Saccharomyces cerevisiae S288C: one gene and its partner. The gene in region 1 interacts genetically with each later gene. Each region holds a gene or a part of one and is shown on either strand. Other genes may lie near its edges.

Evidence for each region.
Region 2: of HST1 (region 1) and SUM1, changing one suppresses a phenotype caused by changing the other (phenotypic suppression), as found in Saccharomyces cerevisiae (5 studies listed by BioGRID, with this or other methods).

Annotation. Positions count from the first base shown.
Region 1 is NC_001147.6:199,868-203,634, forward strand, and holds HST1 (histone deacetylase HST1), read right to left. Parts: upstream 2,013-3,767; coding exon 501-2,012; downstream 1-500. Other genes in the region: kinetochore-associated Ndc80 complex subunit NUF2, read left to right, coding at 1-430; RTG1 (Rtg1p), read right to left, coding at 2,118-2,651; bifunctional DRAP deaminase/tRNA pseudouridine synthase RIB2, read right to left, coding at 2,829-3,767. UniProt on the Saccharomyces cerevisiae protein: NAD-dependent histone deacetylase involved in telomeric silencing.
Region 2 is NC_001136.10:1,080,285-1,086,052, forward strand, and holds SUM1 (Sum1p), read right to left. Parts: upstream 4,033-5,768; coding exon 844-4,032; downstream 1-843. Other genes in the region: TFIIH/NER complex subunit TFB1, read left to right, coding at 4,781-5,768. UniProt on the Saccharomyces cerevisiae protein: DNA-binding protein that specifically binds the regulatory region of middle sporulation genes (MSE). Required for the repression of middle sporulation genes during vegetative growth. Represses expression via the recruitment of histone deacetylase HST1.

The DNA of each region.
Region 1 (3,767 bases):
AGAGTCTAATCGAACTGAAACGGAACTTGTGGGATTAAAGCAAAATTTAATCAACAATAAGCTGAAATTGATGAATGTATTGGAAACAGGTATTATGTATAAATTAGAAATCTTACAAGAACAGTTAGATTTGCAACTCAAGAATTTGGAAAAGCTATCGCAAGATACTAAAGAAGAGTCGCGCCTAAATGATACTAAATTGATGGATCTACAAATCAAATATGAAAATGAAATCAAACCTAAGATTGACAAAACGGACATTTTCATTCAAGAGGAACTGATCAGTGGTAAAATCAATAAATTAAATGATGAAATTAAACAATTACAAAAAGATTTCGAAGTTGAAGTTAAAGAAATTGAGATTGAATATTCTTTATTATCTGGTCATATTAATAAATACATGAATGAAATGCTCGAATATATGCAATAGCAGCGGTATACTTATTTTTACTCCCCCTTCTGTGTTTTCTTCTTTTTTTTTTTTTTTTTTTTTTTGGAATTTACTGTTGTTTCTTTCGTGGCTGTTTCTTAATCTTATACGTACCTTTATCTATTTCCGTACAGTTGTAATCTATCTTCTTTAGATCTTGCCATTTTTTATGCGGTATATCCCAATGGCATTTTTTAGCTACGAGACTGGCCACGTCATCACAGAATCCCAACAGGTTTAAGTCAAACTCTGCATGTGTAACCATATCCCTATTGATCAAAATCTGCGGAACATGTGAAGGTACCATATTGACAATTTCAGACACAGGAGCCACTTTCAAACTTGTTCCTATACAAATCAATAGATCGCATTCCAGTATATCTTTGCGGATGGTCTTATGAAATCGCGATGGCAGGGCCTCGCCAAAAAATGTCATGTCTGGTTTCAAAACACCATACGACTTTAAAATGGGTGAGTTGAAATTTATGTTTGTTTGCACCGTATTATTGCCATTACTCATAGGAAAATATTGTTTTCTTTTTTGATAACAGTAGGGACATAATGGTAGTTCAAGGTTTCTAATATTTTCGAATATTTTCTCACCAGGTATTTGCCAATGGCAAGTCACACAAGATGCAGTGGCGAATGAACCGTGACATTGCACTAATTTATCAGGATCTATCCCTGCATACGATTCTAAGTTATCTATATTCTGTGTGTAGTTTCTTAATAGTTTGCCCTTGTCTTGTAGCATTTTAATGAAGCTGTGCAACGGAGAATACATGTTCTCTGGTGGTAAAACCATATGGGCAATATTGTAAAAAACAGAAGGGTCCTGTAAGAATATATCCAAGTTGAAAACATCCTGAGGGTCTTCCAATCCAAGGTGTCGGATCTTAGAATAAAACCCCTCAGATGATCTAAAATCGGGAATACCTAAAGAAGTGGAAACTCCAGCGCCCGTCAGAACCAAAATTTTTTTGGCGTTACGCAAAGTGGCGGTGAAATGATCAATCGTATTGAAGTTGGGTAATCGAAGCCTTGTACTAAGGACTTTATTTATGGCTTTTTGTAAATCTTTGATTAATTTTACTGCATGCTTTTTCTCTAAGGGATCGGTCAACTCGTCCTCATCTTCAGCTTTTGCATGTATAGACGATAGTTCCGCACTAGAACGTTCTTTATTAGAAGTGATATTAGAGTTTAACGCCATAAATAGTTCTTTATCTTTGACGTCGAATCCCAGCAATTTTATCATGAAATAAATGTAGATCGAGTTGACTTCCACTGGCAAAAAATATTCTAAAAAAGTTTTCAAATCGTTGTCCTTCAAAAACAGTCTTGCATTCATAACATCATCTTTAGTGATTGCAGGAAAGATGAATTTGCCCGTCACCTTATCCTTCCCGAGGATACAAGGGTACGTTAATCTCGTTTTCAGCTTCTTCGTAGCATTATTATCTGACTCTTCTTCTTGAGGTCTTTTCAACATTGTCATGGTCAGCTCTCCAACATGAAAGTATCGCCCTTGACTAACCACCAAAATAAAACTAACTATCCGTTGCATTAGCAATATGTTCATTTAGATTTTTTTTTCTCACAAAAACAACAAAAAAGAAGAGAAGTGTTCGTATCACTACCAACGAGGGTTATCACAACATAGCAATAGTGAGAGTCAGAAGTACTTTTAGCTACCATTACCGTACTCACCATACCCTCCGTACTCGAAGGAGCTCAACCTCTTTGCTGGCGGTCTTACTGAGTCATCATTTGTTGCGGCCAGCGGTCCCACGCCAATCCTGGACAGGGCGACTTCAGCGCTGGTGTTCTCTAAGTTTATATCGTTGACAATGGTGCCTGTCTGCTTGGCCAACTGAGTGGCCTTCACCATCAGTTCCACCTCCTCTCTGTTCTGTGTGTCCACTTGATTTTGTAGATGTGATATGTACTCTACCGCCTGTGTGAGAATTTGGCCCTTGTTGGGCTTTCCGTCCTTGGTCCCTGTACCTTTGGCCTTGCTGGACAACCCAAGCGCACCGGGAGTGGATTCACTTAACGTGTCATTGCTACCAGAATTGCCGTAATAATCTCTAAAGAAGTCTTTGGGAATGATACTCAATAGTTCTTGAATACGGTCGTTGATCTTATCTCTGCGCTTGCGGTCATTCTTGAAATTAGCACCGCAGGACCCAGGATCAGTGCCAGCTGGAATGCTGCTCATGTTTGGTGTTGTGCTTTCTTTTGGTTCACTATCTAGTGTTTTTTGTCTGTGTTGTGGTTGAAGTTAATTCCATTCTTTTTACTCAAAATTTTCGGTGGCGCCTTTTTCCGTTTCCAGTAATGAGTGGTTATTGTAGATATGATGTAAGATTACATGATAATATATATGCTAAATAGTCTAAGCTTTGTCGTCACTATTATCGTGGCCTTTGAAGGCAATGATGGTGCACTCCTCCTCGTAGCCTGGTATTTGTATGTAGTTCACACCGTGCGATTCCAGCTTGTTCAAACTTGTATTGTTTTTAACAAATGTATCGGGCTCCATAACCCCCACGAAGACAGTACCAATGGCACCTTGGGTGGCCAGGATTCTATCGCAGCAAGGCTCATTGCCACTTAGCCTGAAGGAACAGGGTTCCATGGTTGTATAGAGCACTGTTCCCATAGGGACTATAGTGGGACAGTTCGGGTGTAACTGCGAGTACTTTATCAAAGCACACTGTTCTGCATGAGTGTTTCCTGGTAGCTCTCTTGAATATCCTGTGGCAAGTACTTGAGTTCCATGAACAAGAACGGCACCAACACTAAAAGCAGTCTTTGTCGGGCCACACTTACCAGCTTCCTTAACGGCCATTTCCATATATCGGCGATGTGGCTCTAAGGCCCATTCAGGGTATTTTGTTCTATAACTCCAGAGAGGTTTTTGCGTATCCGAATTTCTTTCCAATGACTCGTACCGGAAGGCATGCAGCCAGAGGTCGAGATCATTAGTACCGGGATCTGTGTACATTTCAGCCTCGCATTCTTCGCACTGACGGCCAAGCAAGTATTCACCCTCGCTATGAGGATGAATCCAGCTCTCTGCAGGATTAGTCTTGCCAATAGCGTCTAGTTTCAGAACGATGTCATCATAGTTTTGAAGTCCACCGCGGCCCAAATCTGGACCCCAGATATCTGGGTTCGAGTATATAGGGTCATTTGCTATGGGAAATCCCAAGTACTGCAAATGGACTCTTATTTGGTGAGTTCTACCTGTCAATGGTTTACACTTTACAATACTCGTCTGTCCATCATAGCTAACCCTTTGGAAAACGGTCTTGGCATGTTTAGCGTTTTC
Region 2 (5,768 bases), on another chromosome or scaffold:
TAAAAAAAGAAGCTCTCTTGAGCAGTAGCAATAATATATACCAGACACGAAACAATCCATCAACAGGTCTCGTTTTACTGGAGTTTTACATTTTCAGTTTCTTTTTCGGATGCGAATGATCACTAGCTTGCAAACACGAATTGATCACGTTTCACAATTGTTCCACCAAACATGGCGATAACGGCAGCGTTTCCTCGAGAAATAGGCAACATCTAGATCTCGAAATGGTTGGTCTGCACCTGTTTCTGGGTGACCAATCCTCGGAGCCATTCCAGTGCTTAAGTCTTCAGGGGCCAGAACGCGTCTTTGCCGGGTGCCGCATTCTTTTGGCCCGGTCGCGCCTGCCCAAAGTAGCAATACACAACACCCAAAGAAGGAATTTCTTTTTCTGGAATATTAATGGAGCGGAGCCGCGCGCTTGCTGAACGCCAAAATTATAAAAACAAACTTTGCAGGTTTTTGAATCTGACGCAGTCAATCATGTTTCTTTTCTCGTGTAGGTTAATATAGATAAGCGCCCAGCGGTATGCTTTTTGCGTTTTTTGCTATTTTGAGACAATGGCGATAGTTTAAGTTTCTTAGTATGCAGAGGTGCTTTTGTACGACTGGGGCGTTCCTCAGCGCAAGAGTAAGAAATAGTTACAAATTCGTCGATAAAGGTGTATGTAATGTTAAGCGCTAAATATGTATGTAATGTTAAGCGCTAAATATGTAATGTTCCAAATAAGTTGGGAGGTTACTTGGTTGGGCATAGTAACGGTCCATTATTTTGTGTTTTTTTTATTTTTTTTTATTTTTCATTTTTTTATCTATTCTCGAAACTGCCCCAACGTACGGACCAGCTTAACGGATATCTGGCGGTATGATTCTGGAATATTTGACCTGGTTGTTTTCTGAACCGTCATCAAGGAAGTCAAAAATTAACATGTTGTCGATGGTTTCATTCAGATTGTCTTCGTTAATGCCGTCCTGACCCAATGCCGGCAGTGTTTCGTTATGGGGAAACATCCACTCTCTCCATTGAGTGGTCACATTGTCGCAGAGGTCGTAGAGGATCATTTTTAGCAGGGTAATATGGTTGTAGAACCATGAAACGGATCGATTAATAAATATTCTGTAGTTTTCCATCTCTTTCACCGCATGCAGGATGGTGTAGTTGTGGAATCTTCTTTTGTCTCTTGATTGGTCTCTCCAAAATTCGAAAAGGGCAAATAACGCCTTTCTCCTTTGCCAGGTTCTTTTGGATTCCCGAAGTTTTAAGCCTAGACCAACTAGTTTATTCTCCCACCTGAATTCCATCAAGAAGTACTCCAAACTGTTAACGTATTTCTCTGTCAGCGTTGTCTTGCTCAAAATTTCAAAGGCAAGTTCCGTCTCTTCTTGAATATCAGGCTTGAAGAAATGCGCATTCATTTTTTCATGCTTTGATTTAGCAGCATAATCCTCCTCATTGATGCTAGAGTTGATCAATTCCTCTTCTTTCGCCTTGAATTTAAATTCCAGGTACGCTCCTGTGGTAATGGGAACGTCCGGAATATCTCTCCGGTAGAAGAAGCCTTCCCGGCAGATTAATTCAATGGGAGTTGCCGTTAACAATGTATTGCGTGACTCTGTACCCAAACCGAGGTTTCCGTTGCCATTGCTACTATCGTTAGCAGACTCAGTATCGTTATGGATAGATGAAGTACCTTTGGATAAATCTGCGGAGATGTCTCCTGAGACATTCTCCACGGTGGCCAGCGTTCCGCTATTACCAACACCCCTTTCTCCCTCATCTTCTTCACCTTTTGTATGATCTTCTGTGCGTCTCTTCTTTGGTGATATGCTCGTATTCTCTGTTTGATCCAATGCACCGTCATCGCCTGCTGTTCTTTTCCTTATCGTGTCCGAAGGTTGTGAGTTTTCTAATGGAACGAACGTGGTAGTTTCTTCATCTCCCGGGGTCTTTCTTTCATATTCTGCATTCTCCTTGGTAATTGCCTCTTCCCCAGAATTTAGCATGGACTGTATTCCAACTTTGTGAACCGTATCGGCAGCGGATATGGTTAGACCCATCTTGAGAGAGTCGCTGTTTGCGTTTGAGCCCTCATTGTCAATATCGACGAGTTTTTCTTGCTCTAATGGTTGATATCCTTCCTGTTGGTGGTCTGAAATGCCGCTGATGGAGGCCGATCTTGGTTTTGGCGACATTGAAGAACCTTTAGTTGTTGGTTTTTCTGCACTTTTTATCTTTGAACGGGTGGAGATCTCATTCAAATTTAAGTTCAAGTGATTATCATGTATTATCGAAGTCATTCTTTTCCTCCTCTCTTCTTCTTTCATTGCTTTTAAGAGTTTCTTATTAGACTCCATAAATGACTTTGCTTTATCGCGATCGTTATATTTCATATTAACAAGCATTTTCTCCCTTGAATCACGTCTTTTATCTAATTCTCTTTGTTGTCTATTCATCTCTGACGTAACCGCCGCAGCAGCGGCAGCTGTTGCTGCTGCTGGAGAGGAAACGGGTGGTAATTTGACCGTAATATTACCGCTGGCGTCATAACTTAATGAAAACTGATCGTTAACCATTAATCGGCGAATATCACTATTGATATCTGAATTAGCTGAAAATTTAATGACGTTGTCAGTATTATTATTATTGGTCGTATTATTACCACTATTTTCGCTGGATGATTTGATGGTTATTATTTTCTCCTTCTCGGTTTTATTTTCTTCAACATTTACCTTTCCTTCCACGTTATTATGAACAGTATCAGTAGTATTCGAATCCTCTGCGTTTGGATCACCATTAGTTGAAATTAGAGAGGCCAGTTCTAAACTTTTAATGTCTATTTCTTGTGTGGCTGACCTTGAAGTCCGAACCGGAGCCGGTTGTGACACAGGATTGGATGGAGATGATGGTATTTGATGAAATTTGGAAGATGGAAGCAAGGAATTTATTGGAATCTCGTTTTTAATCCGATTAGATGCATCTGACTTATCTATCGTATCCGTGGAATTGGATATCATTGTTTCCACTGTTCTCTTTTTTGGGGGCCTGCCTCTTTTTCTTTTGATTTGAATTAAGTTGTTCGGCGTAACAGGTGTTGGTGTGATGGAGCTAGAATTAGCAGTGGATGGTCGCTCTTTACCATTTTCATTGTTCGTTCTTTGCGGTACGGAAGTCAAGGACATATCAGCATCATCTCTTGATGATGAAGGGGCAGATAATAAAAGCGACTCTTGTTTCGTTGATGGTTCCACAAAATACCTTTTGGATTTAGACGTTTGTACTACGGCAGTCGGTAAAGTAATATTTACTGGTGAGAAAGGAGCACCCTGATTGGATGCACTTTTGAGATTGACCGAGGCTGCGTTTGACACTAACTTATTCATTGTGGAGGTCGAGGCATCTTTTCTTGGCCTGCCAGGTCCCCTTCGAGAAGAAGAGGTATTATGCTGTGAACTGGTATTGTTGGATGAATTTTCTATGAGAAGGTTAGAGTGATTTACTTTCGAAGTATTTTGCAACATTGTCGATAATTTGTTCAATCGTTCATTCAAATTATTGACCAATATGTCAGTATTTACTTGATTCTTCATGACATCATCCAGCTTATTTTCCAAAACTGATTGGTTGTGTGATAAAACTTTTAATGAGTTAAACAAATCCTGCACAGAATCAGTGAGGGAAGTGTCTTTGGAAAGCAAAGCCGTCTTCAAATCGTTGCATTGTTTTGTGACTTTGTCCATACCCTCTTTTAGGGCTTCAATAGATGAATGTGGAAAGGCCTCGGAATCTTTTATATGAAGCGGATTTGAACCAAAACCAGAGCCAACTTGTCGTTTTATATCAGAATCATCACTGACTGGTATGTCTGTGATGGATGGCAAAGCTTTAGCGTTCGCATCTGTATCTAGCTTCCTCAAACTATTAGCTTGATTTTGAGCACTGGTAAGTGCTAACGTATCTACGTCATCTTTGGGTCCAGACGGAAGTCTCTGTTCATTGGTTATGTTATCAGAAGGGGCTGTGGTGTTCTCAGACATCCCCGCAACAAACGAATTTTGTTAATTATGTATGAAACTTTTCGTTTGATCTCAATAATACCACTAGCGACTAAATTTTTATGATACTTAGCTACTTTAAACAAGTCCCTTGTGCTCTGTTTGCTGACACTTTTGATAAAATATGCCTGTGTATAATTCTTTTAGCAGTTTATTTCAAACACAAATGGTATTAAAAGGATAGATGAAAAAAAAAAAAAAATTAAAGCCACTAGTAATGATACAATCGTGGTATCACAAGCGCTGAATGAAACAAGTGTGGCTATCTATAGCGGATGCAAGTGGAGAACTTGTGAATCCAAACTGAAATATTTTGCCATCATTTGTTGTCCTTTCCCTTTTCCATTCAGGAAAAAAAAAAAAAATTTGACGTCGCCGTCGCGTCGCAGTCATATAATTACAGCAATTTATCTTGTTGAACGACGCAAATTAATGGAAATTGTGACTTACATAGTAAGTATTAGTAAACGTAGTTAAGGCCACGTGGGAAAGATATGAAAGGAGTGTAAGTAATGGATATCGGTCTAACGAAAATGGAAACCAATCTTTAAAAATGATAGTATGATTCGACAGTAAACTAGAAAAGCCACAACCCGTGGGACATGATAAGGCTGCTCGTTTTTGACGCAATTTTTAGACAATACTGAAATTTAGCATAATAAGCTTTCCCAGTGAAAGTAATAATATTTAACCTAGGGTAGGGGTAGGGAAAAAATAAAAGTAAACCATAATGTCACATTCCGGAGCTGCCATTTTTGAGAAAGTTTCTGGGATAATTGCCATAAATGAGGATGTTTCACCCGCAGAATTGACATGGAGGTCTACGGACGGTGACAAGGTTCACACAGTTGTCTTATCCACTATTGACAAGTTACAAGCTACCCCTGCTTCCAGTGAAAAAATGATGTTGAGGCTAATCGGGAAAGTGGATGAGTCAAAAAAGAGAAAAGACAACGAAGGAAATGAGGTTGTGCCCAAACCGCAACGTCATATGTTTTCGTTTAACAATAGAACAGTTATGGATAATATCAAGATGACCCTTCAACAAATCATCTCACGGTATAAAGATGCAGATATCTACGAAGAAAAGAGAAGAAGAGAGGAGTCTGCGCAACACACAGAAACACCAATGAGCTCTTCTTCTGTTACTGCAGGGACTCCCACACCACATCTCGATACACCACAATTGAATAATGGGGCTCCGTTGATTAATACAGCCAAACTAGATGATTCTCTCTCTAAAGAAAAATTGTTGACCAATTTAAAGCTACAGCAATCTTTACTGAAAGGAAACAAAGTTCTAATGAAGGTTTTTCAGGAAACAGTCATTAACGCCGGTTTGCCTCCATCTGAATTTTGGTCAACTAGAATTCCGTTATTGAGGGCTTTTGCCTTATCTACTTCTCAAAAAGTTGGGCCTTACAACGTTTTGTCAACTATCAAGCCGGTGGCTTCATCGGAAAACAAAGTCAATGTTAATTTGTCAAGAGAAAAAATTTTGAATATTTTTGAGAACTATCCAATTGTAAAGAAAGCTTACACTGATAATGTGCCCAAAAATTTCAAAGAACCAGAGTTCTGGGCAAGGTTCTTCTCTTCGAAGTTATTCAGAAAATTAAGGGGTGAAAAGATCATGCAAAATGATAGAGGTGACGTAATCATTGACAGGTACTTGACATTGGATCAAGAGTTCGACAGAAAAGATGATGACATGCTAT